6 linked regions of the Xenopus tropicalis genome follow. The protein of the gene in region 2 interacts with the protein of the main gene of each other region in a pairwise test. Links are inferred from orthologs where the notes say so. Each region holds a gene or a part of one and is shown on either strand. Other genes may lie near its edges.

Region 1 (3,049 bases), on a different chromosome or scaffold from region 2:
ACAGCCAGGCCTGGACTGGGATTCAAAATAGACCCTGGCATTTTAACTCTTATACTACAGTAGATCCTCTTGCTTCGGCATGAAAATATCACTGCACTCACTGCTAATGCCTTAACAACAGAGGATGATGTACAGGTTATGGGTTGTGACACACATCGTTCTCTTCAAGTGAGTTACATACACCAACACTGAGTATAAAGAAATTAAATATGTGCAGTATTGCACTTCAAGACACACAAACAAAAACAGAGGGGGTTCTGTGATCTTCTGACCATCCCGCCCTCGTTTTCAGCACCCACCGCTGCCTAAAAAATGCAAAGCGTTCCTAACAGGACACTCAATAGCTCAAGATTTTGCTGTCATCAATGAGTTGAGCATATAAGCTGGCTATCAACAATGGACTGCCACAGAGTGACATTAGACGAGTACACACAGCATATATTGGTGTTGAAAGTACCTAAAGGCTGCATATTTAATTAGTAGCTTCTACTACAAGAATTAATTGGCTCCAGGCCTGTGCATGCCTAATTGATCCCTTTGACAGCTCCAGATAACCCTTTTCTGTCTTCTAAAAACCTGACTGAAATGAAATTGCACCTATGAACCAATCATGGTTACCTGATTGCATGCTCTCTCCTCTTTGATAACTCAGTTGATCTTGGGATGTTACACAGAGCTTCCCCTTGTGGGTTCAGAGTCCCTGCAGAAGAATGTATTCGGGCCTGGGCCCTAGGAGATTTATATGGCCAACGTGTTTCTTTTAAGTTTTCTTCATCTGCTTGAATGTCCATTATAATTTTCTCTTTATGAGAGGGAATGTTGGAGGTCCGTAGCTGGAAAGGCTCACAGACTGTAACATGTTTTGTAGATGTGCTCTCAGGTAAACGTTTCTGCTGATTTTCATGCATGGTTTGAGAGTGAGGTATGGTCGCACTGATTTTGGGCTTGTGCTTTTGCTTTTCTTTGGGTTTGTAGCATTTTCCTTTCTTAGTGCCTGAGTGAGCGCCAGGAGCAAGAGTGATGGTAGGATATGAGGAATTTTGTAAAAGTTCCTGCGCTCTCATATGTATCCGGATCCCTCGATACAATTCCTCTTCTTTTAGTCGTTCGGCGGTAGAAGTTCCATAAATAGACTTCGGCACTGGCTTGGCTTTAAAATGGTTTGCGCTGGGTACTGATGTTGAAAGGTTCATAAAGTCCAGTCGAAGGGTTTTCTTGCGTTCCTCTCGCTCAATAAACTGGAAAGGTTTCTGAGTGGCCAGTAGAATATCCTTGCTCTTTTCCTTCACAAAACTGCGTCGTTCCTCATTCCTCTCCACTATTTCCTGATAAAGTGGCAGATACACAGAAGATGGAACTGGGTTTGCTCTGAATTTTTTTTGGCATTCTGCCTCTTCTTCCAGCTTTTTCTTCAGCAAATTGTTTTCCAGCTCAATCTCGGACTTTGACTTTATATTCATCTCTTTTTTCTTGGATTCCCGAATTGTCATCTGGAAAGGTTCAGGAATGGTAATTTTGTGAGACCACTCTTTGGACTTTTTGCTAGTTTTATTTTTTGCTATTTCTTTGGAAAAGTATTCAGAATTTCTGATATAATCCTCGACTGTGAATTCATTCCACATGTCAAGAATTTTATTTCTAGCAGATACAGAGTGCTCTGAGTCACTGCTGTCTCCATTGGTCGATTCATGTGAGCTTTCTGATAAGCTGGGAGAGACACTTCCACTCAGGCTGTGCTTCAAATACTTATCATCATATTCAGCTGGAAGCACAGATTTAGGTTCCCATGCTGATCTAAAATGTAAGAAATGGAAAGATATAGTCTTCAATGCTACATTGAGAGCAGTGACAAAGCATAGCAAGTGCTAAATCAAGAAGAAATATTAAATTTTACAACTGGCCCTAGGGTTGAATCCGACCCTCCAAACTCTATTATTGCCCTCATGCTGTCCAATAGTTCAACAGACCTTTATGTGGGACTTTATGCAGGATACAAGGATCATACACGTGGAACTGAAAGGTGAATGACTAATAGATGGAAAAAAATACAACTATATTTTTCAGTATTAACTGACTGTAAGAGCTGATGCTTTGCCTACTAAACCAGCACTTTTTGAGTTTCTTCATGCAGTGGGGCAACATCATCAACAAATTGTATTAAATTTATAAAATCATATTAGTAAGGCAATGGACCCCTGTCAAGCACCATCCCAAAAAATAATTTGAAAGGCCTCATGTGATTCATGAACCTCTACTATATAATGCAGACAGGGTCAAAAAGGGCTGGCAGGAATTAAAAGCACCTGAGCACATACCAATACTATTAGCTGCTTAATACTAAATACTTGGTGTTCTTCTATAAGGCAAGGTCACACAGGGAAAATTATCACTGCTGCTTGTACTGTAAAATTGCCAACCACCTAGCCACTGACATCAATAGAAAGAAGGGCTGCATGGTCAGTAATGGTGGATCCAATGTGAGTAGAAAGAACTATGACAAACTACAAGCAGTGACAATCAAAACACTCTAGGTGACAACAGACAATAGCTGCTTACCTGTAGACTTCCCTGACAACTCCCTGTTCATTCTCTGGGTTGTGAACCCCACTCAGATGTAATTTTTTATCATACATTTTCTCCAGTTGTTCCATATTCTGCAGATGAGCTTTTTTTAGCTTCTCTACCTGAACATAATAGTCTTTGTCTGGATGATGAACTTTGGAAATGTCAAAAACCCAGTCTTGACATCTGCGGGACTTGCAGCACCTGGCTTCTTCCCAGTCTAAAGCAGCAGCAGGAGCAGCAGGAGTACCCTAACAAAGGACAAGAAAGTGTTCAGAGTAAATGTAAGCACCTCTGTGTGCAAAAAACATAAGTAATAAAACTACTTATTATTCCATGTATCCTTTAGTTATTCATTTGAAAAATAAAGCCTGGGTAGTGTTTACCCTTGAACAACTGCAATGTTTTTCACTGGATATAACATTAGGAAACCTTTGCCGGTATAGTTGTATCTCTATTGGGGCTGTCTCTGCCCATGGGAAGCCAC
Region 2 (3,651 bases):
CAGAGGGAAATTACTTCAGCTCCCAAAGATTTGGAAAGAGAATTCATTTTGCTTCTGAATGAAGAAGCACTTAGCACTCCACTAGTGATTTATCCACTCCCTTAACTCGCTCGCTCACTTTCTCTCACTACTTTCCTTCCTAGGCTGGAAGATCTAAACCCTGAAGAAACCGACATGGTAAGCTTCCTTCCAAGGAAACATTTCCTCAATGGCTTTTTTAAAAAACTATTTTATTACATTTTTCATTATACGGGCATGGCTTGCACTTCCTGAGCAATGTATCAGATTGTACAAAATAAAGAGCACATCCCTATTAAACACATTTGTCCTTTATTTAAAAAGATTTATTTGAAATAATTGCTTTTAGACTGCAAAACCTTGTGAGCAGGATCATCCTGTTTTATCCTTGTTTTTCATGTGATACTCACCCCTCTTTGTTGTATTATTATTGCAAAGTGGCACTATATACAGAAAATGAAGTCTGATAGCTTTCCAAAATAGTTGCATTGTGTTATTATAAGGTGGGGTTAAAGAGAAAAAAGTTCATGTATAAGGGGTAGGGCCAAATCATTCCTCTCTCTTCCCTCTTGACTGGAGTCTGGAAGCAGTGAGCTGCTGTAAAAGCAGTGTGCTATTTTGGGTACTAGAAGATATATGTTAAAAAGTGGTCGTTAAAACTTTTTAATCATAGCGCAATTTTAATTGGTTATAGCCTGTGTTAAAAACAGGGATGCATATTGGACAGCAAAGCACACAAAGAACACCATTCATTTCAGTGGCCAGATACTTCACTAGTGTCTGTTCCAACAGAAGGATTTCGGTTCTGTTTTCATACATTAACATTTTAAAGCTGCTTTGAGGGGTTTTCTCTGCCTTGCTAAGTGTTCTTAGTCACTTGTCCAGTCCTGCTCATGTTACAAAATCTTGCAGTGAAGATCTTGAACCACTGTGGGGCTAATGTGGTCAGCAGCTTATTAGCACGCGTATGAGGCCCACTGACCTGCATGCCCAGCCAATATCTGGCAGGTTTGAAAAACCCATCAGTAGAGGACCACTTTGGTGTGTTGATGCAGTCCTCATCCAACAGGGCTTCTTAGGCCCTCTGTACTATCCAATCATTGGCCCAGGCTCGACTTGGCCCAGTGCTTTGGTGCCCAAATTGGGCCAATATCCCCTCATTTGGAGGATCTTATTTTGTGCATCCACCTTAAGTCTGACTGCCCTTTCCTGTTCAGCCACAACATATATATATATATAAATTTTTATTTTTTTTTTTATGCATTTTAAATGTATCTTCCACATAATATACTTTAGAGTGTTTTATAAATTGTACACACACATATGTACTGTTAATACCAGTTGCTCTGGTCCACGGGTGCTACATTAAAAAATGTAGCACTATTTCTAAATATGCATATCGTTTATTTCCTGTCTACCTTCCATTTGATTTCCCTGAAATAGACATTGTGAGGATAGCTTATTGTGGGCACCTTTACTCATGCACACACAAATATACACAATTGAGTTCTTTCTGCCATAGAAATTGCCTAATCTGCCCACTAGATGGCAATGTTGTTCTGAAGTCTATGGAGAATGATTCAGTTGAGACAAGCAATGAGGCAGCACACACTTTTTTAAATATATATTTAGATACTTAGATTAATATTTTGTCTTAAATTATAGCTTGATTATTCTAAGTACTATAAATGATTTAAATGTAAGTTAATTAGGTTTTTTCCAAAAGCTTTTCTGCAGGTTATCCCACGTCCAGTCACTCAATTTCATTTTGTATGGCCTACAGACACTGCAGCAGCTATTGGCCCAGTTGGGAGAAGCAGAAGGGGGTGCTGCCATTCAGGAAAATGGAGCACTAATATTAGAGCGGATTCGACAAAGTCAAGAGAGAAGAGAACATATCACAGCTGAAGAAATGGGAGCCGTCATCCAGGAAAGGGATGCTGCTCGTGCTAAGGTGAGGAACCAGACATAAATATATGGGGGAGTTATATCCACAAGTGCAGTCACCATGTTTTTTTCCCCTGAATTCTAATGCCATTGTAGTTGAACAAAGGTGGTGCTCTTAAGGCAATTGTGTGTGCTGCTTACTTTTACGTGATTGCTGATAATTAATACATCTTAATACACTTCTTTTTGGTGTATTTGTTTTTTTTTTTTTGTTTTTTTTTCAAAGTATGATAAATAGGCCCCTACATACACTAAAGGTTAGGCCAAACCCCACTGAGAAAGCATATATGCCCTGATGGGCAGTTAGCATGGTGGAAATAAAGCCAACTTTCTGACCATAGCACTGCACATATTGACTTGTGTAGACAGCCATACAGTCAATTGTCTTTTTGGGTACATGAGCAATTTTTCATTTCATGGTAGTAGGGAGGCTTTATAGCATGCAAACATGCTGAGAATTTAATCAAGCAGTTAGGCACATGAGGGAGAGAGGGAAGATTCAACAGGCTGTTCCTCAGTCCTACTGGATTATGGTCAGTCCAAACTAAACTTTTATTTGGAAATGCCCCACGTTTAGGGTTGCCATCTGACTGGTAAAAATGATGCTTGATGCCAATGTTATTAATAGCGAAAAAAGGCAAAAATATAAGAAGGCTGGTATTTTTATCCAAAAAAGGTGGCAACCCTAACCCACATTCAACTTACTTTCCTAAAGATCCACATGTTTGGGTTCTCAGCCCAAATGAATGGGAAAGGTCAGCCTGTGTATGGGCACCTGTAAACTGTGTATGAACAAGCTAGGAACACAATAGGGGTAGGTAATAAAAGGCATTAAATTTGCCAAGGAGCAGTAACTCATAGCAACCAATCAGCAGGTAGAATTTACTAGTCAGCTGTTTAAAGGCAAACACCTTATTGGTTGTTATGGGTTATTGTTACTGGGTAACTTAATGCCTTTTATTACATATGGGGGTATGTATTTATTTCAGGGGTAGATTAATGAAAGATTGAAAGGGGAATGCAGAAAGATTTCTGGCAGTTCACTGTTTTTAGGTTTTATCCAAATAATTTTTTTTAAAGAACTGAGCATTTATTAAATCTGAAAGGTGTCGGATTGAATGTTTTTGACTTCTTTGAGAATGTTCACTTCCTATGATGTAGGCAGCAGTGCTAAACATTGATATCCATTCAATTCATTTATCACTGGTGCAATATGAATGATTTAAACATTTATTTTCCAGCAGGGACAGGAAATTGTAAAATAGCAAATGACTGGTAATGTGTTGCTGAGAGGTAACTATCTTCACTGTCTGGTAAAATTACAATTTGCTAATCTGCTAAATTGCCCCAGTGTATTAATTTCTGTTTATTTTGTAATTCCTGGTTTTGTTAAAGTTTGTTTTTCATGACACATTTTTATATTAGGCCCCAAACTATAAAAGTCATTTGTAAATCCATAGGTAAATAAGAGGTTAAAAGAATGTCTTTTGGGCCAGTCTCCCAAAATATCTCGTATTCCTGTGCTGTTGAATGCGCTGGGGCTCACAGTGCCTCGTTGCTTTCTCAGGCTGCAGATGCTTTTGCAGGTACAAAGCAACCTTAGAATTTGTAGTCAAAGGTTGCCAGCTAGCAGCTAACTGATTTCCCTTCCTAACGCAGTATAAACATTCACTTGTCTTCCTGTAA
Region 3 (3,651 bases), on a different chromosome or scaffold from region 2:
TGCACACTTTCTGCAATTTACTTCAGGGCATCGGGTAAATGATTCTATAGGTGGGAGGTGTTCCCTATAGTATCTATTTGATATCTCTCCATGCAGAACATTTGGACACATAAAGAGGATTCTGACACAGCTAGAAGAATTTGGGCTATGACATAACAAAGGAAAATGTGCCTTCTTAAAGAACTCTATGCAATATTGTGAACATGTTTTAGATGCCAGTGGCTTACACAAGTCATCAGAGAAAATCCAAGCAGTGTTTCAAGCATAACTGCCCAAGGATGTAGCACAGTTTTTTGGGGGTTCATTAATTAATATAGCTGGTTTGTGCCAAATTTTTTCAATGTTGTTAGTTTGTGTTATTATTCCCACAAAAAATGGCAGAACTTCAGATGACTTGGCCTCCGAGCAAAATATCTTCAAGGGGGTATTGCATGCACCCTCCCTTTGATTACTTCCTTGTGGTGGGTGGCAAACTTTAATGGACTTAGTGAGGGGGGCTACAGTACAGCAGACCTGTCTGCAAACAGTAACCGCAAGTAACTACCGAGGGCCTAGTAAAAGGCTACCAGCACTCAGTCACTGCTCAGAGTAGTCCATGCAGTTATACAGTAATAGTGTCAGACAATATATTTAAGAATTGTCTTATTGATCGGCTATATAATACTCAGTTATGAGCAAACCAGGCCCAAAGTCTTGTTGGACCTCGATCTACCAAAGCACCAAACTGTTGTATCACCTGAGGTAACAACCCCTGTAATGCACCCCCCAATGATTGTAATCACTTACCTGTTAGTGCTACTGTTGGCAGAAACCTCCACCAGCATGGGGTACCTGCAAGCAAGTGATCCCCTTCCTTCTTCTGTCTTTGCACCACTTGCACATGAGCAGTACAGTGAAAACATTAACGATAAAAAAACTGGACTGCTCATGCAAGGGCCCCATTCAAGAAGAAAGACGAGAGGAGGAAGAGGATAGGTCTTGCATGGGAACCCCCCACCCAATAAGATTATTTTGCTATCAATATGTCAAAAACAAAGAATTGTTTCATAGGACATTTTGTAAAATACTATTGGCATACTTTACCTTTATAACTGGTTTCTGGTTAATAGATACCTTGCATGTAATACTGTTTTATAGCCAAGAATTTATGTCAAAACCACACATGGGGTAGGCTAATATTATTAATAAGGTATTTGGATTTTTCTCCTTTAACTGCACTAGGAGCAGGATAATGGGAGGCTAGCGTTCAATGATCAGTAATGACATCAAGTAAAATTGTATGGAAATTGGGCAAAAGCAGAAGTTAAAATAGAGTAGCAACGTGTATGGCAGGTACAGAGGAAACTAGTGTGCTAGCAATATAAAGTCAAAATGTATATTCGCATTTGGAACAGCTTAAAAATGGTTTATCTAGATCCCTGAAGTTTCGTTTTAATCTGCAATTACGCTTGTTTACATCTTTATTACTATCTTGGCACACTTTATATACACCATCACAAATCACTATTAATTAACAGCTGTCCTTTGCTGGCAGTTTGAATTCTATTTGGAAGCAACCTCAGCCATTTCTGTGCCAATAGATAATCTTCTACCAGAGCTGACCATAAATCCTGCAGGCATAATTGGCAGCAAGGAAGGCATAAAACTTCAGGCTGCATGCACACTGCATAAAAATAAAATAATGGTGTCATCCAAAGAGATCAGTGGAGAGCCAAGGCATGTTGGGGGCCATAAAAGACTCTCGAAGGACCATATCTGGCCATATCCAGTTCAATATAATGATGAGCTGCTTATAAACCTTATAGCATAAAATACACATGTACATTATACACAATACATGTCCATACATAATTGCAGTAATTGATCTGAGTGATTAAAAAGACACAAATTGTTTGATAACAAAAAATTTAATTTAAACCAAAATCTTTAATTACACAAGCACATCTATAGAGAATTGAAACTGTTTTAAAATGTATTGATCATACATGGCTTTAGTGACAATGCAAACAATAATATAGTATAATTATTACTTGCTATGATAACAATAGTTTTTTTTATCATTTTTCATAGGATTTTTTCCCACCATGCCTACAAAGGATAACTTGGAGAGTTTCCTAAAAAACATTGACGAAATCAGTAAGTTCCTGAACAAATTATAATAAAGGTGGAGCCAACAGAATTTAGAAAAAACGCTTATGAATTATATAAATGAATAACACCATTAAATCTACATGCCAGTCATGTAAGCATGCAACTGTTATTGCTGCTGGAGTCACAACCTTCAGAATATTGTTCTAATTATTTGCAGTCTGTGTTTGAGCATGTGCTCGTGGGTTTTTACCCATGATGTCTTGTAAGATCCTTTAATTAAAAAGGCAGCATTTGTATGATAAAAGTTTGAAATGATTTTAAAGGAGGTTGGCCATTAATTTCTCATGTAATTGAGGCTATGGCTCCTTTATCTGGTGTCATTAAAGTTTAAATACATACAAAAGGTTATTATAATATAAATAGCTCATTATATGTTTAATATAATTACTTAATTGTTATACAGGTATCGGACCCCTTATCCTGAAACCCGATATCCAGAAAGCTCCGAATTACGGAAAGCCCATCTCCCATAGACTCCATTTTAATCAAATAATTCAGAATTTTAAAACTGATTTCCTTTTTCTCTGTAGTAAGAAAACAGTACCTTGTAATTGATCCCAATTAAGATATAATTAATCCTTATTGGATGCAAAACAATCCTGTTGGGTTTAATTAATGTTTTATTGATTTTTTAGTAGACTTAAGGTATGAAGATCCAAATTACGGAAAGACCCCTTATCCGGAATACCCTTGGTCCCGAGCATTCTGGATAATAGGTCCTATACCTGTATACATAATTCTGTCTAGGTGTGTTGTTTCGGTATATATATTGATATCCAAATGGTCTTAAATTGACTTTATACTTACTCTTGTAAAATATTATTAATATCCTTTAGTACAGGTATCGGACCCCTTATCCGGAAACCCGTTATCCAGAAAGCTCCGAATTACGGAATGCCCGTCTCCCATAGACTCCATTTTAATCAAATAATTCAGAATTTTAAAACTGATTTCCTTTTTCTCTGTAGAAATAAAACAGAACCTTGTAATTGATTCCAACTAAGATATAATTAATCCTTATTGGATGCAAAACAATCCTATTGGGTTTAATGAATGTTTTATTGATTTTTTAGTAGACTTAAGGTATTGAGATCCAAATTACGGAAAGACCCCTTATCCGGAATACCCTTGGTCCCGAGCATTCTGGATAATGGGTCCTATACCTGTATATATATTATAGTATATATAGTATATATATATAGTGCCAAACATATGCACAGTTTACAAAGATTGTTCATAATTCATATTGGCCTAGACAGTAAGATGTCATGTATGAATAATGCGATGTAGAAAAATGAGCAAGCAAAGCCAGCAAGTTTTAACTATATTGTTCTTTCACAGCTGATATCATACAAGATTTAAACTCCTCAGATGAGTCACATCGACAAGAGGCTTTCTTAAAAGCAGACAAAAGGCTTGCTCTGTTGAAGAACAAAGACAATGATGATGGAATCAGGACAACAGCAAATAGAACTGTCATAAACACATCTCCTGAAGGAA
Region 4 (4,374 bases), on a different chromosome or scaffold from region 2:
CTAGTATTCACTGCAATGCTCATAGGAGCAGCATAAATACAGGCAAAGGGTAACCCATTCAGCTGAATAGTGCTCCCCTTTAATATGTCTTTCACCAAGTGCATTGGTGCTGGTTGATCCCCATTCCCAGGAACTTGCCTGATTCAGTCTGCAGGGAGAAGAATGAGCATCTCACTTGCAGCTTCAGTTATACGGGAGTGTCCTCTGGGGGTTAATTTAGCTCTGCTGCGAGGGGGGGGGGGGTGCAAAAGCTGACAGCTTTGCAAGAAGTCCACACATACTGAAAGAAAAGGGAACAAGTGGCAGGGCCGATAGCAGGGGGCAGAGAAAGTGCATGGGACAGATAAGACAATGGAGAGGTGGAAAGAGCAGGGGGCAAATAACTGTGAGGACGGAGGTACAAGAGGTAGAGGACAATTAACAGCAGGGGACAGGGGTAAAGGCTCAGATAACAGAGGGTATTAAGGTCAGGAGACGTACAACAATAGAACTGAGTACAGGGGGTACATAAGAGCAGGAAGCAGTTTAATGGTAGATGTTTTATAAACTGCACCTGAGTAGAACAAAGGCAGAGATGTCAACCAACCCATGTCATGAGGGAGAAAACGATCCACTCCAGGCTTTTTTGATAGTTTATTTAATGTTATCATTTAGTATGATGATAGTATGATTCAGGCCTAAAAAACAGGCCTTGATCATTATTTCCCTCATGACATGGGGCTGTCATGTGATCACCTAGACCACATGTGTCAAACACAAGGCCCATGGGCCGAATCTGGCTGCCTGGCTGTTATATGTGGCCTGTGGTAACCGTGTCTGACTGTGCAGCACCAATTGCCTGACTGTGCCGCTCCAGTCCCAGTGGTGCTGTGACTGTGCCTGACTGTGAGGGTCTATCCTTCTACTACTAAGTATCTTAATAAAAAATCAGGCCGTGGCTTAGCCTGTGTTTTAGATTTCAGCCCCCTTATGTTTATGAGGGGACTTTAGGTCACTAAAAACAAGTTGCATATATAAATTATGCAACATGGGCTAAAATATGCTATTTTCTAGGGACCTCAAGTCTAGTGATGACAGCATCACAACTGCTATTTTTTAATCACTTACAGTCTAGGTAATAACATTACATCATCACAATGTTCTATACATATATATATATATACACACATATATATTATATATATATATTAGATGATGATAGACAGACACATATATATATATATATATATATATATATATATATAGAAAGTGCTAGTGTGCAATAAGCAAAGTTAAACGACATTTAATTTGCAGAAGAGTGACATGAAGATTCACAGCATTATAAATAGGATAATGGCTGGGATAAAATGTATATTCTTTGATTTGCTTTTGAAGTATGATCGACGGACGAGCTGTGTCCAGCTAGGATCTAAACTCCTAATGCATATCAGGCTGGAGTTTATCCAAACGCCGGATGCGGACAGAACTTCCTTTCCGGATTAGCATCTCCCTTAGAGACCAGTACTGAGGCGGAAGCTGTTGTTGCTATGGAAGAGAGGAGTCGTGTATTTCAAGAGACCGTCAGGTAAAGTGTTTTTGAGAAGCCGTATACCGATAAAAGAAAGAAGGAGGCCTAGCATCGCACGTTACTTATAAACAAATGGGCAGGTGCGGTGCTAAATAAATCGACTATGCGTGGAATTATAGGTTGCTGAGGATTTTTTAAATGGAAGAACTGGCCACATACTACATGGCTTTTGGGATATGTAAGACTACACAGATAAACTTTGGTTACGGCTGCCTGGCTAACTGGGCTTTGCGCGTTCCAACTGGGCTAATGACGTCAGTCGCTGGTCTACCGAGTCTGTTGCGCGAAGGCAAGGTTCCACTTTGGCATTTTATTTGTTAAATGTTTTATGTTTTGAACAGTCTGATGTCTCATGTATGATTATTCACATAATGTACAGTCCCCGAAACACAAACAGTGTATGTGAGCTTTTTTGACAATTTCTCCCTGCGCCGTGACGTCATTCGTGTCGCCTTCTCCCCCCCCCCCCAGGGGTCGAACCAGCAGCACTGGTACAGCTAGTTATGCCCTGGTACAGCTAGTTATGCCCTGGTACAGCTAGTTATGCCCTGGTGCAGCTAGTTATGCCCTGGTGCAGCTAGTTATGCCCTGGTGCAGCTAGTTATGCCCTGGTACAGCTAGTTATGCACTGGTACAGCTAGTTATGCCCTGGTACAGTTAGTTATGCCCTGGTACAGCTAGTTATGCACTGGTACAGCTAGTTATGCCCTGGTGCAGCTAGTTATGCCCTGGTGCAGCTAGTTATGCCCTGGTACAGTTAGTTATGCCATGGCCCCTGCAAAAACGCACTGTTTGCAATTTTGAGCATTACATTAAGCCCCTAATAATAATGTATATATTTTATTGAGGGGTAAATACTAAAAAAAAAATGGATTTTTTTTTTACAATGTTTTTGTATATTGGTAGCATAGTTTTATGGCTGTGTTACTTTTCAGACATACACTGGACACACAAGGACAAACAAATGTTTTTGTTTTGCCATAGTATGACATTAAAACGGGTGCAAGTAAAACATGCTACTCACATTGATCTGACGTAATCATGGGAAGATGTGAAGGGAGGCATTTTTCCACAATTAAACCACAATTAAATTGAGCTGCAAGTAATATATTTTACTTGCGCTTATCTTACCTTATACTATGCCAAGTAATTTTCAGGAGACCCATTGCCCGCAGTAGAGCAGATTTAACCACAGGTGACAAATTTCACCCCATGCCACCACCCTAAGGGCTACATTCATCAAATCACTAGTTTGAATCCTGAAATGGGTAAAATTCGGATTTTATACGATAATTTCTGATGATCACAAATATCACAAAAATGCTTACGATCAGAATAGTCACGATAATATAGTATTTGTGCTCCGAAAGTCACAAAATTTTCATTTCCCCCTGTGATTGTAATCACTGTGATACCCCGTGCCAGTGCTTTTGTTAGCAGTTAACTGTACTGGCCCAGGATACATGCAAGTGAGCAATTCTCTTTTTTCTATGGGCCACATGTGTATGTGCAGAAGAAAGAAAAACAGAACTTTGACAAAAAATGCTGGGTTTTTCACTCTACTGCGTATACGTTGGCCCCAGGATCGCTAAGAAAGAAGACAGAAAGATGAGGATCACTCGCTTGCAGGTACCCTGAGCTGGTGCAGGTTTCTGCTAACAGGAGCACCAGCCCAGGGTATCAGGCAAGTGATTACAATCTCTGGGGGGGCTAATATTTGGCACCCCCCAGTGATTGTACCTTTCCTTCTCTTTTAAGGGAACCCTCTGTTTTGAACTGAAAGTGATTATGTTTTTATCCCCAATTTTAGGCTTTCTGCATAGTCAAGAAAATGTCAGAAGGTGCATCCAAAATTTCTGGGCCAATTCTTCCCCATACAACTCAGTTTTTAGACCTGAACAAACGCCCTTCTTCTGGTAAGAATTTTTTCAGGTGTACAACTCCCCTCTCAGTCTCTTTTACCTTTGAGCTCCCATAAACAATCTTGAATTAAAAAATAATATAAGCACATACCCACATAACAGTTTATATGAAAATTAAACAATGGACTCCAGATTTACTATTTTTGAAGAATCTACATAAATTCACATTTAGCTTGTTCATGGCATTTTAATTTGCTAATATTTATAGAAATTCAAAATTTAGTACAAAATTAAATGATTTTTGCTTCTTAGTAATATGGATATTTACCGTATGCTTACATTATTCTGTTCTAGGGCCCAATACAACAGGTTTAATATTGTATGTCCTCATAGATATATTATCTGCCAAACTATTTATGTAATATATTCATTGATGTAGTCTTGTAAAATGATATACATGGGCAAATAAACGAATCAGCCTGGACTAGAGTGTTAAAACATGAGGAATATACGGTTAGAACATATGAGTAGATTTTAGGGACAACTATATAAGCGTAAAAGCAACAAATACCAGTGGTGCCATTAGTCTAATGCCCAGTATGCATAGTGTATAGGGGGCTGATACAGGTATGGGATTCCTTATCCGGAAACCCGTTATCCAGAGAGCTCCGAATTACAGAAAGGCCATCTCCCAAAAATGATTTCCTTTTTCTCTGTAATAATAAAACAGTACCTTGTACTTGATCCCAGCTAAGATATAATTACCCCTTATTGGGGGCAAATCAATCCTATTGGGATTATTCAATATTAAAATAATTTTTAGCGGACAAAAATTATGGAAAGATCCCTTATCCGGAAAACCCCAGGTCCCAAGCATTCTACATAACAGGTCCCATACCTGTACTATGGCTGCTGCAGAGAGTTGCCTAAGAGTAATCTAACCCC
Region 5 (2,726 bases), about 33 Mb from region 2:
CCAAACCTCATTACTTCCCTGAAGGCCCCAATGGATAAGGGTCACTGGTGTTCTCCAAATCCCACCTAACTGGGGCCCCCCGTCGGTATAGAAGCAGGATTTCTGTATGAGGGGGGGTCTCACCTTGCTATTCTGTTGTTGTCAGTTTTGCGGACTCTGCGTATGGCCGTGATGTTGGCCTTCACCAGGTAATGCTGAGCCAGATCTGGAATAAACAAATTGCATTAGAAATAGGGAAGGCGGAGTCTCTTGCCCCATGGGGGTATTTAGGGGGTATATTTATCATGCTGTGTAAAAAGTAGGGCCGAATCCGGCTTTATTTTTTTTTTATGGATTTGGTTTCGGCCGAAGCGATGGTTCCGGCCGAACCGAATCATAAATAGCATTCAGAAAGGGTTAAATGGTACTGGGAAAATTTTTTGTTGCAGCGTGCAGAGCGCGTGACAACTTTTAACCCTTCGGCCGAACCCCCAAAAAGTGGGTTCGGTGCATCCCTAGTAATAAGTGGAGTGAAACATTACCAGTGATGTTGCCCAGAGGAAGCAAATTAGATTTCAACAATTAGAAAACCAAAGCATCTGATTGGTTGCTACGAGCAACATCATTGGTAATGTTTAACTCCACATGATAAATATACCCCTAGGGGTGCATAAATATGGCCCCAGGGGCTGCTGCAGGGTGCCATGGACACAGGGCCTGTGGCTAGGGGGTATTTATACATAGGTAACTGGGTGCCGGTGCCTAGGGTGGCAGTTTTTGGGAGGCAGCCCTTGGACCCCCACAGCTGGGGGGTATGTGGCCCATAAGCTTGCACTCCTACCCCCCCCCAGAGTTCCTAGGTGACAGATCATTACCGGAGATGCCCTTCTCAGTGATGACAACGTCGGGCTTGAGTCGGATGATGTCCTCGCAGACCTGCTGGATGTACTCCTCCTCCATCTGCAGAATGCGGGCGAAGTCCTCCTCGCGCGTGATCTCAATCTCTGTCTGTGGGGGGGGAATGTTATTGTGGGGATAAAGCGCCATACGAGGTGGGCGAGAAGAACCATATGGGGCACGGGGTATCTATGGGGCACAGAACCTGTGTAGGAGGAGCCTGTGTGTTACGTTGCTAGGGGCTCCAGTCATAACAGAACCCCCTGCTGTATATAAGCCGTCAGCGGGGTCGGACTGGGGGGGATTCAGGGGCCCCCCCACCGGGAATCTCTCTGCATACCTGGCTCTCCCCCTTCTTGTACTCCAAGGAGCAATCCAGGAGAACGATACGAGGGTTCTTGATCAAGCGCCGCATCTTGGGGTGAGTGACGTCCTTGTTGACCATGACGCCCCGTAGAACACAGGAGTCTTCAATAATCCCCCCGGGAATCTAATAGTGGGGAGAAAGGAAACACTTAGGGGCAAGTCAATGTTAAATTCTGCTTTTTCTTTCCAGCTTTTCAAATGGGGGTCACCGACCCTGGCAACAAAACAACAAACCCTACTGCTGTGTAGCTTTTAATTCAGTAGCTCTTATTCATCTTCCCATCTCTCATTCAAACCATTGCTAAGTTTCTAGGGTAAACTGAACCCTAGCAACAAGATAACTAAAAATTGCCTAACTGGAAAGCTGCAGAACAAAAACAAAAAAAAAAAAAAGACCAATTGCAAACAGTCTGCCTACACCATACTGTGGGAATTCAAAGTGTAGTACCACTTTAATATTCCCCCCCCCCCCCCCCCCCCCGAGCTATAAAACCTAAATATTCTGTACCTGGGGGAGGGGAATTCCCCGGCACACAATGGCGTCTCACCTTCTCCACTTTGGCGTATTTCTTGATGTCGATCTCCTTTCGGCCGTTCTCCTCCAATTCGACGGTTTTTACGGCGTCCAGAGCGATGCCACAGGCCATATCCGCCCAGCGCTTGATCGCCTTGGTATTGACCGCACTGTTAATGATCTTCAGCATCAGCTCGCGGTCATTTGTATCGACTGGGGTGCTGGGGGGGGGACAGAGACGGGAGGTGTAACGGCACAAACACACTAAATTCTCGTTCCCCCAGGCACAACAGGATCCCCGCGCCCTACCTGATCTCCTTCAGGGTGCTGACCATGTCGTCCAGGGCTTTCCGATAGGCGCTGATAACCACAGTAGGGTGCATCTGCTGCTCCAAGAACTGTTCCGCAACCGACAACATCTCTCCAGCTGTGATATAGGCGTAATGTGTTAGATACACCGCGCCAGCGCCCAGCCCACCCCCAGCTACCGCGCCAGTGCCCAGCCCCCTAACCCACCCCCAGCTACCGCGCCAGCGCCCAGCCCCCTAACCCACCCCCAGCTACCGTGCCAGCGCCCAGCCCACCCCCAGCTACCGCGCCAGTGCCCAGCCCCCTAACCCACCCCCAGCTACCGTGCCAGTGCCCAGCCCCCTAACCAACCCCCTAAGATACCGTGCCAGTGCCCAGCCCCCTAACCAACCCCCAGCTACCATGCCGGTGCCCAGCCCCCTAACCAACCCCCAGCTACCATGCCGGTGCCCAGCCCCCTAACCAACCCCCAGCTACCATGCCGGTGCCCAGCTCCCTAACCAACCCCCTAAGATACCATGCCAGTGCCCATCCCCCTAACCAACCCCCTAAGATACCATGCCAGTGCCCAGTCCCCTAACCAACCCCCAGCTACCATGCCTGCGCCCAGCCCCCTAACCAACCCCCCAAGATACCGTGCCAGTGCCCAGCCCCCTAACCA
Region 6 (4,215 bases), on a different chromosome or scaffold from region 2:
GAGAGACTTACACTTCCAGCTCTAAGGATATGGGAACACTGAATATTTCTGCATCAAAATATAATTACCATCCATTTGCCCGTGGCCTTCCCCGTCACTCTCATCTTCATTATCCTCATCCTCTGCTTCCGATTCCTCACCCACCTCTTCTGCCTCATCTTCCTCTTCTGCTTCTTCTAGGGCTTCTTCTTCCTCATCATCACTTTCTTCTTCCTCTTCATCAGACACAGTATTCAAGGTGGCGAGCAGCTTGTGGTACATGTTAACCGGCTCGGGATCACTCTCTGCCTCGCTCTCACTTCGGGATTCATCCTCCGAACTCTCAGGCTAAAATACAGACAAGTCAGACTTATAGTAACTAGAAATATCAGCAACGCATTTGTATTTTATATAAAAGCAATGTACAGGTTTCTGTTATCTAGAATGTATTCCTGGGCTTTCTGGATAAGGGATCTTTCTGTAATTTGGATCTGCATGCCTTAAAGAGGTGGTTCACCTTTAAGCTAACTTTTAGTACGTTATAGAATAGCCTATTCCAACAACTTTTCAATTGGTCTTCATTATTTATTTTTATAGTTGTTTTAATTATTTGCCATCTTGTCCCAACTCTTTTCAGCTTTCAAATGGGGGTCACTGACCTCAGCTCAAAAAAAAACTATTACTCTGTGAGGCTACAGTGTTATTTTTACTTTTTGTAACTTTCTTTTCTATTCAGCCCCTCTCCTATTCATATACCAGTCTCTCATCCAAACCACTCCCTGGTTGCTATGGTAATCTGGACCCAGCAACCAAATAACTGCTGAAACTCCAGACTGGAGAGCTCTTGAACTGAAAATGAAGTAACTAAAAAAGCTACAAATAAAAAATGAAGACCAACTGCAAATTGTCTCAGAATATCACTCTCATACATAATACTAAAAGTTAACTCAAAGGTGAACAACCCCTTTCAGTCTACTAAAAAATCATTTAAACATGAAATAAACCCAACAGAATTTATTTGCCCCCAATAAGGATTAATTATTTCTTAGTTGGGATCATGTGCAGAGAATAAGAGAAAGATGGCCTTCCCTTAATCTGAAGCTTTCTGAATAACAGGTTTCCGGATAACGGATCCCATACCTGCACTAACATGGCTGGGTAGTAACATGAAAGATCACACACATACTCCCTTATGCCTTCACATAGATATTACAGTTCTACACCCATAATTAGTTGAAATATAAAGCTAAGGGGAAGTAAAGCCACAAACTATAATTCTGTATCTGTCCATAAAGTAGGTTTAAAGTGTTTTAACGTAAATTGAAATTTCCACCCATCTCTTCCATTGTGATTTATGTTTAAAGAAGGTTTTAAATAGACATTTGCAGTATATATTGGCAACAGCTACATTCTTGTTTAAACTGGAAGGCTCAGGCATTACAGTCACTCACCAGTTGAACCACCTGGGTTGTTTCTTGTTTCTTGGAGACTCTGCAAAGAGAAAAGGGATCAGATTTACAATGTTTAATAACAAGCTGGTGGGCCCACCAAGACATACAATCAGTAGTCTGTACCAACCCCCTGAACCTCAAAGTACCTACTAACCTAGCTGTTTAAAGGGGAACTCCACCCAAAAAATATGCAGCCTTTTCTTGATTTTTAATGTTATAATATGGTTTGGAACAGTTCCCTAAGCCCCGCCCCCTGTTCCCCTGCTGATTCGGCTGGCTACTTGGAGACTCAAATAAAATGTCCTCAGCCTGCCTTCAGCCTGCATCCTCCCAATCCCACAATTCCCTGCACACTGATGTCAATAAGGAAAGGAACATCACAGTACAATGCATTGTGGGTTATGTAGTTCCTGCATGCTGTCTGTATGCTGTCTGTAAGCTGTGGAGAAGTTGTTACAATTTGTAACATCAGTGTTTTACTCGGTTTTATGTTCCTGCAGGGTAACACTTACTATATATATATATCTTCTACTCATGTCCCCTTTAGGGCCTCTAATGTGGCCCCTGACTATCCATAAGGCATTATACATTATGTTGATAATACTGCAAAATACCACTCAGTGCAATTATTATTATTATTATTATTATTAACATTTATTTATAAAGCGCCAACATATCCCGCAGCGCTGTACAATAAGTGGGTTACATACATTGGACATACAGAGTAACATATAAAGCAATCAATAACCGATACAAGAGGGGAAGAGAGCCCTGCCCAAAAGAGCTTACACTCTACATCCAATATATTAACTAAAGGCACAACATTGTCTCTACTCTTCTTGCTCTTACACCTGTATGTGCCCCCAACATTCCCCTTGATATCGGGACATTTGGGAACAGGATAAGTAACATGAGTATAGTTACCGGGACACCGGGACACTCTGGGCTGATTCTCCATTTCCAGATTCTGCCCAATATTTATATTCACCTTCCCAGCTACCCCTCCTCTATCTGAACATGTCATTGATCCCTTTGTCCCCTCCCCAAGGCAATAACAGTAACTCTGGCCTATAATGTTATGTATCATTGCTGTTCCATGTGCGCCCCCAAGTGGTTACTCAGGGCAGGGCAGGGGGGGGCACTACTATGTGTCCCCCCTTTTACTTTATTTTCCTGACACTCAAGCTGCTATTTTAACTCTTGCATTGGCCATGGTGTGTTTGCCTGGGAAATGTCAGACTCTAAGAGAGAAGGTTTGAGTCCCCGCCATCCCATCCCATCCCCATACCCGGACGATATGCTCCGAGGCTACTCACGCATCATAGAAGGGGTGCTGCTCCCCAAATTCCTTCAGGTGCTTCTTCTGTTTCTTGCTCAGGGCGCTGCCAGCCTCCTCCCTCCGCGGCTTCCTCCGCTTCCCCATCTCTGCACTCTAACCACGTGTGCGCCTCCCTCTCCGATTGGCTTCCGGGTTCTGTCGCATAGTTGATGACGTTGACCAATAATCACAGAGAGGGGCGGTACTTTTACGCCTGGTTTTACCTCATGACGCAAACATCAGCCGACTGCGAGGTACCGGCTCCCAGAAGGCAGTGCGCCGCAGACAGCGCCATGGAGCCGGAGATGCAGCCGGAGTTAGAGGGAGAGTCGCTGGCCCAGCGGGGGCGCCTCCCTGAGCGGTTACAGAGGCGGGACGAGGAGCGGCAGCGGGAGGCGGACAGGAAGCGGCAGGAGAAGGAGGGCCGCGCTGTGCTGGAGGAGAGGAGCGCCCATTTTATCGCCTCTTTCGGCTCTGACAGGGCGGGGATCGAGGAGCTGTTGGGCAGCGAGGAGTCGGGGGCCCTGGGGGAGGCTGCGGCTCGGTTGCAGCGATTGCAGAAGCTTCTGAATGACAGCCTCATGTTCCTCCCGCCCTATGATATCCGCCAGGCCCAGGACTCACTGGCCCGAATGCAGGGGGCTCTGGGGGCCAAACGCCAAGCTCTGCAGCCCCGGGGCAAGTTTGCCTTCAAATCCCGCAGGAAAGAGGCGGCCCCTGCAAGTAATACCACCCCTGCGGGGAATCCCACCCCTGCAAGTAATCCCACCCCTGCGGAACCTCAGGCCAAACCCAAAGCGGCGGAGCCCCAGGCCCTGTGTGGGCTGCGCGGACTCTCAGGCCAGGCCCTGTGTATGGAGGCAGCTGAGATCCAGAGGAGAGATGTTGCGCTGAGCCAATTGCAAGACTGCACCGTCACCCTGAGGGGCTCCCCCGCCACCCTGCATATCCGGGGCCTGCGGGGCTGTAAGGTGCTGTGTGGCCCCGTCTGCACCTCGGTGTTTGTGGACGACTGTCGCGACTGCCTGTTTGCCTTTCCCTGCCAACAACTGCGCACTCACAGCACCGAGCGCTGTCGCTTCTACATTCACGTCACCAGCAGGGCCATCATCGAGGACTGCGCCCAACTGCACTTTGCCCCCTTCACCTGGTCCTACGAGGGGATCCTGGGCGACTACGAGGCGTCCGGCCTAGACAGGGCCAATAATAATTGGAACCAAGTAGATGATTTCAACTGGCTGGCCAGGGATGTCCCATCTCCAAACTGGGGTGTCCTTCCAGAGGAGGAAAGAGTCACCGACTGGGCCTGATGCTCTGGGGACATTGGGCGGCCAAGGAGGATTGGCACAAGTTCAGGTGGAAGCTGGACATTGCTTGGAAGACCCAAGAGGAAAGGATAAAGCATGAGCGCTACATTGCCTAAAGGGATTTATATTGGAACTCGCATTCCTGGCTTCTAAACAGTTG

The links.
Region 1: the proteins of mipol1 (region 2) and fam161a interact in binary tests that used the Homo sapiens proteins (3 or more experiments, as listed by UniProt). The two-hybrid records come from large-scale screens. The link is inferred for Xenopus tropicalis from reciprocal best matches to the Homo sapiens genes MIPOL1 and FAM161A.
Region 3: the proteins of mipol1 (region 2) and ttc12 interact in binary tests that used the Homo sapiens proteins (3 or more experiments, as listed by UniProt). The two-hybrid records come from large-scale screens. The link is inferred for Xenopus tropicalis from reciprocal best matches to the Homo sapiens genes MIPOL1 and TTC12.
Region 4: the proteins of mipol1 (region 2) and enkd1 interact in binary tests that used the Homo sapiens proteins (3 or more experiments, as listed by UniProt). The two-hybrid records come from large-scale screens. The link is inferred for Xenopus tropicalis from reciprocal best matches to the Homo sapiens genes MIPOL1 and ENKD1.
Region 5: the proteins of mipol1 (region 2) and cct3 interact in binary tests that used the Homo sapiens proteins (3 or more experiments, as listed by UniProt). The two-hybrid records come from large-scale screens. The link is inferred for Xenopus tropicalis from reciprocal best matches to the Homo sapiens genes MIPOL1 and CCT3.
Region 6: the proteins of mipol1 (region 2) and utp25 interact in binary tests that used the Homo sapiens proteins (3 or more experiments, as listed by UniProt). The link is inferred for Xenopus tropicalis from reciprocal best matches to the Homo sapiens genes MIPOL1 and UTP25.

What each region holds. Positions count from the first base shown.
Region 1 is NC_030681.2:33,459,641-33,462,689, reverse strand, and holds part of fam161a (protein FAM161A), read right to left. Parts: intron 2,814-3,049; coding exon 2,557-2,813; intron 1,795-2,556; coding exon 619-1,794; intron 1-618. UniProt on the Homo sapiens protein: Involved in ciliogenesis.
Region 2 is NC_030684.2:108,906,344-108,909,994, forward strand, and holds part of mipol1 (mirror-image polydactyly gene 1 protein), read left to right. Parts: intron 1-143; coding exon 144-177; intron 178-1,801; coding exon 1,802-1,972; intron 1,973-3,651.
Region 3 is NC_030683.2:86,554,362-86,558,012, reverse strand, and holds part of ttc12 (tetratricopeptide repeat protein 12), read left to right. Parts: intron 1-2,070; 5' UTR 2,071-2,084; coding exon 2,085-2,136; intron 2,137-3,492; coding exon 3,493-3,651. UniProt on the Homo sapiens protein: Cytoplasmic protein that plays a role in the proper assembly of dynein arm complexes in motile cilia in both respiratory cells and sperm flagella.
Region 4 is NC_030680.2:41,244,217-41,248,590, forward strand, and holds the start of enkd1 (enkurin domain-containing protein 1), read left to right. Parts: upstream 1-1,441; 5' UTR 1,442-1,564; intron 1,565-1,574; exon of another isoform or gene 1,575-1,647; intron 1,648-1,655; exon of another isoform or gene 1,656-1,856; intron 1,857-3,377; 5' UTR 3,378-3,398; coding exon 3,399-3,483; intron 3,484-4,374. UniProt on the Homo sapiens protein: Microtubule-binding protein which regulates microtubule organization and stability. Promotes the stability of astral microtubules and facilitates the proper orientation of the mitotic spindle.
Region 5 is NC_030684.2:142,073,371-142,076,096, reverse strand, and holds part of cct3 (T-complex protein 1 subunit gamma), read right to left. Parts: intron 2,184-2,726; coding exon 2,066-2,183; intron 1,978-2,065; coding exon 1,791-1,977; intron 1,367-1,790; coding exon 1,217-1,366; intron 988-1,216; coding exon 855-987; intron 206-854; coding exon 124-205; intron 1-123. UniProt on the Homo sapiens protein: Component of the chaperonin-containing T-complex (TRiC), a molecular chaperone complex that assists the folding of actin, tubulin and other proteins upon ATP hydrolysis.
Region 6 is NC_030681.2:15,264,972-15,269,186, reverse strand, and holds the start of utp25 (digestive organ expansion factor homolog), read right to left. Parts: upstream 2,878-4,215; 5' UTR 2,854-2,877; coding exon 2,747-2,853; intron 1,471-2,746; coding exon 1,431-1,470; intron 328-1,430; coding exon 69-327; intron 1-68. Other genes in the region: tbcc (tubulin-specific chaperone C), read left to right, coding at 2,919-4,058. UniProt on the Homo sapiens protein: Component of the ribosomal small subunit processome for the biogenesis of ribosomes, functions in pre-ribosomal RNA (pre-rRNA) processing. Essential for embryonic development in part through the regulation of p53 pathway.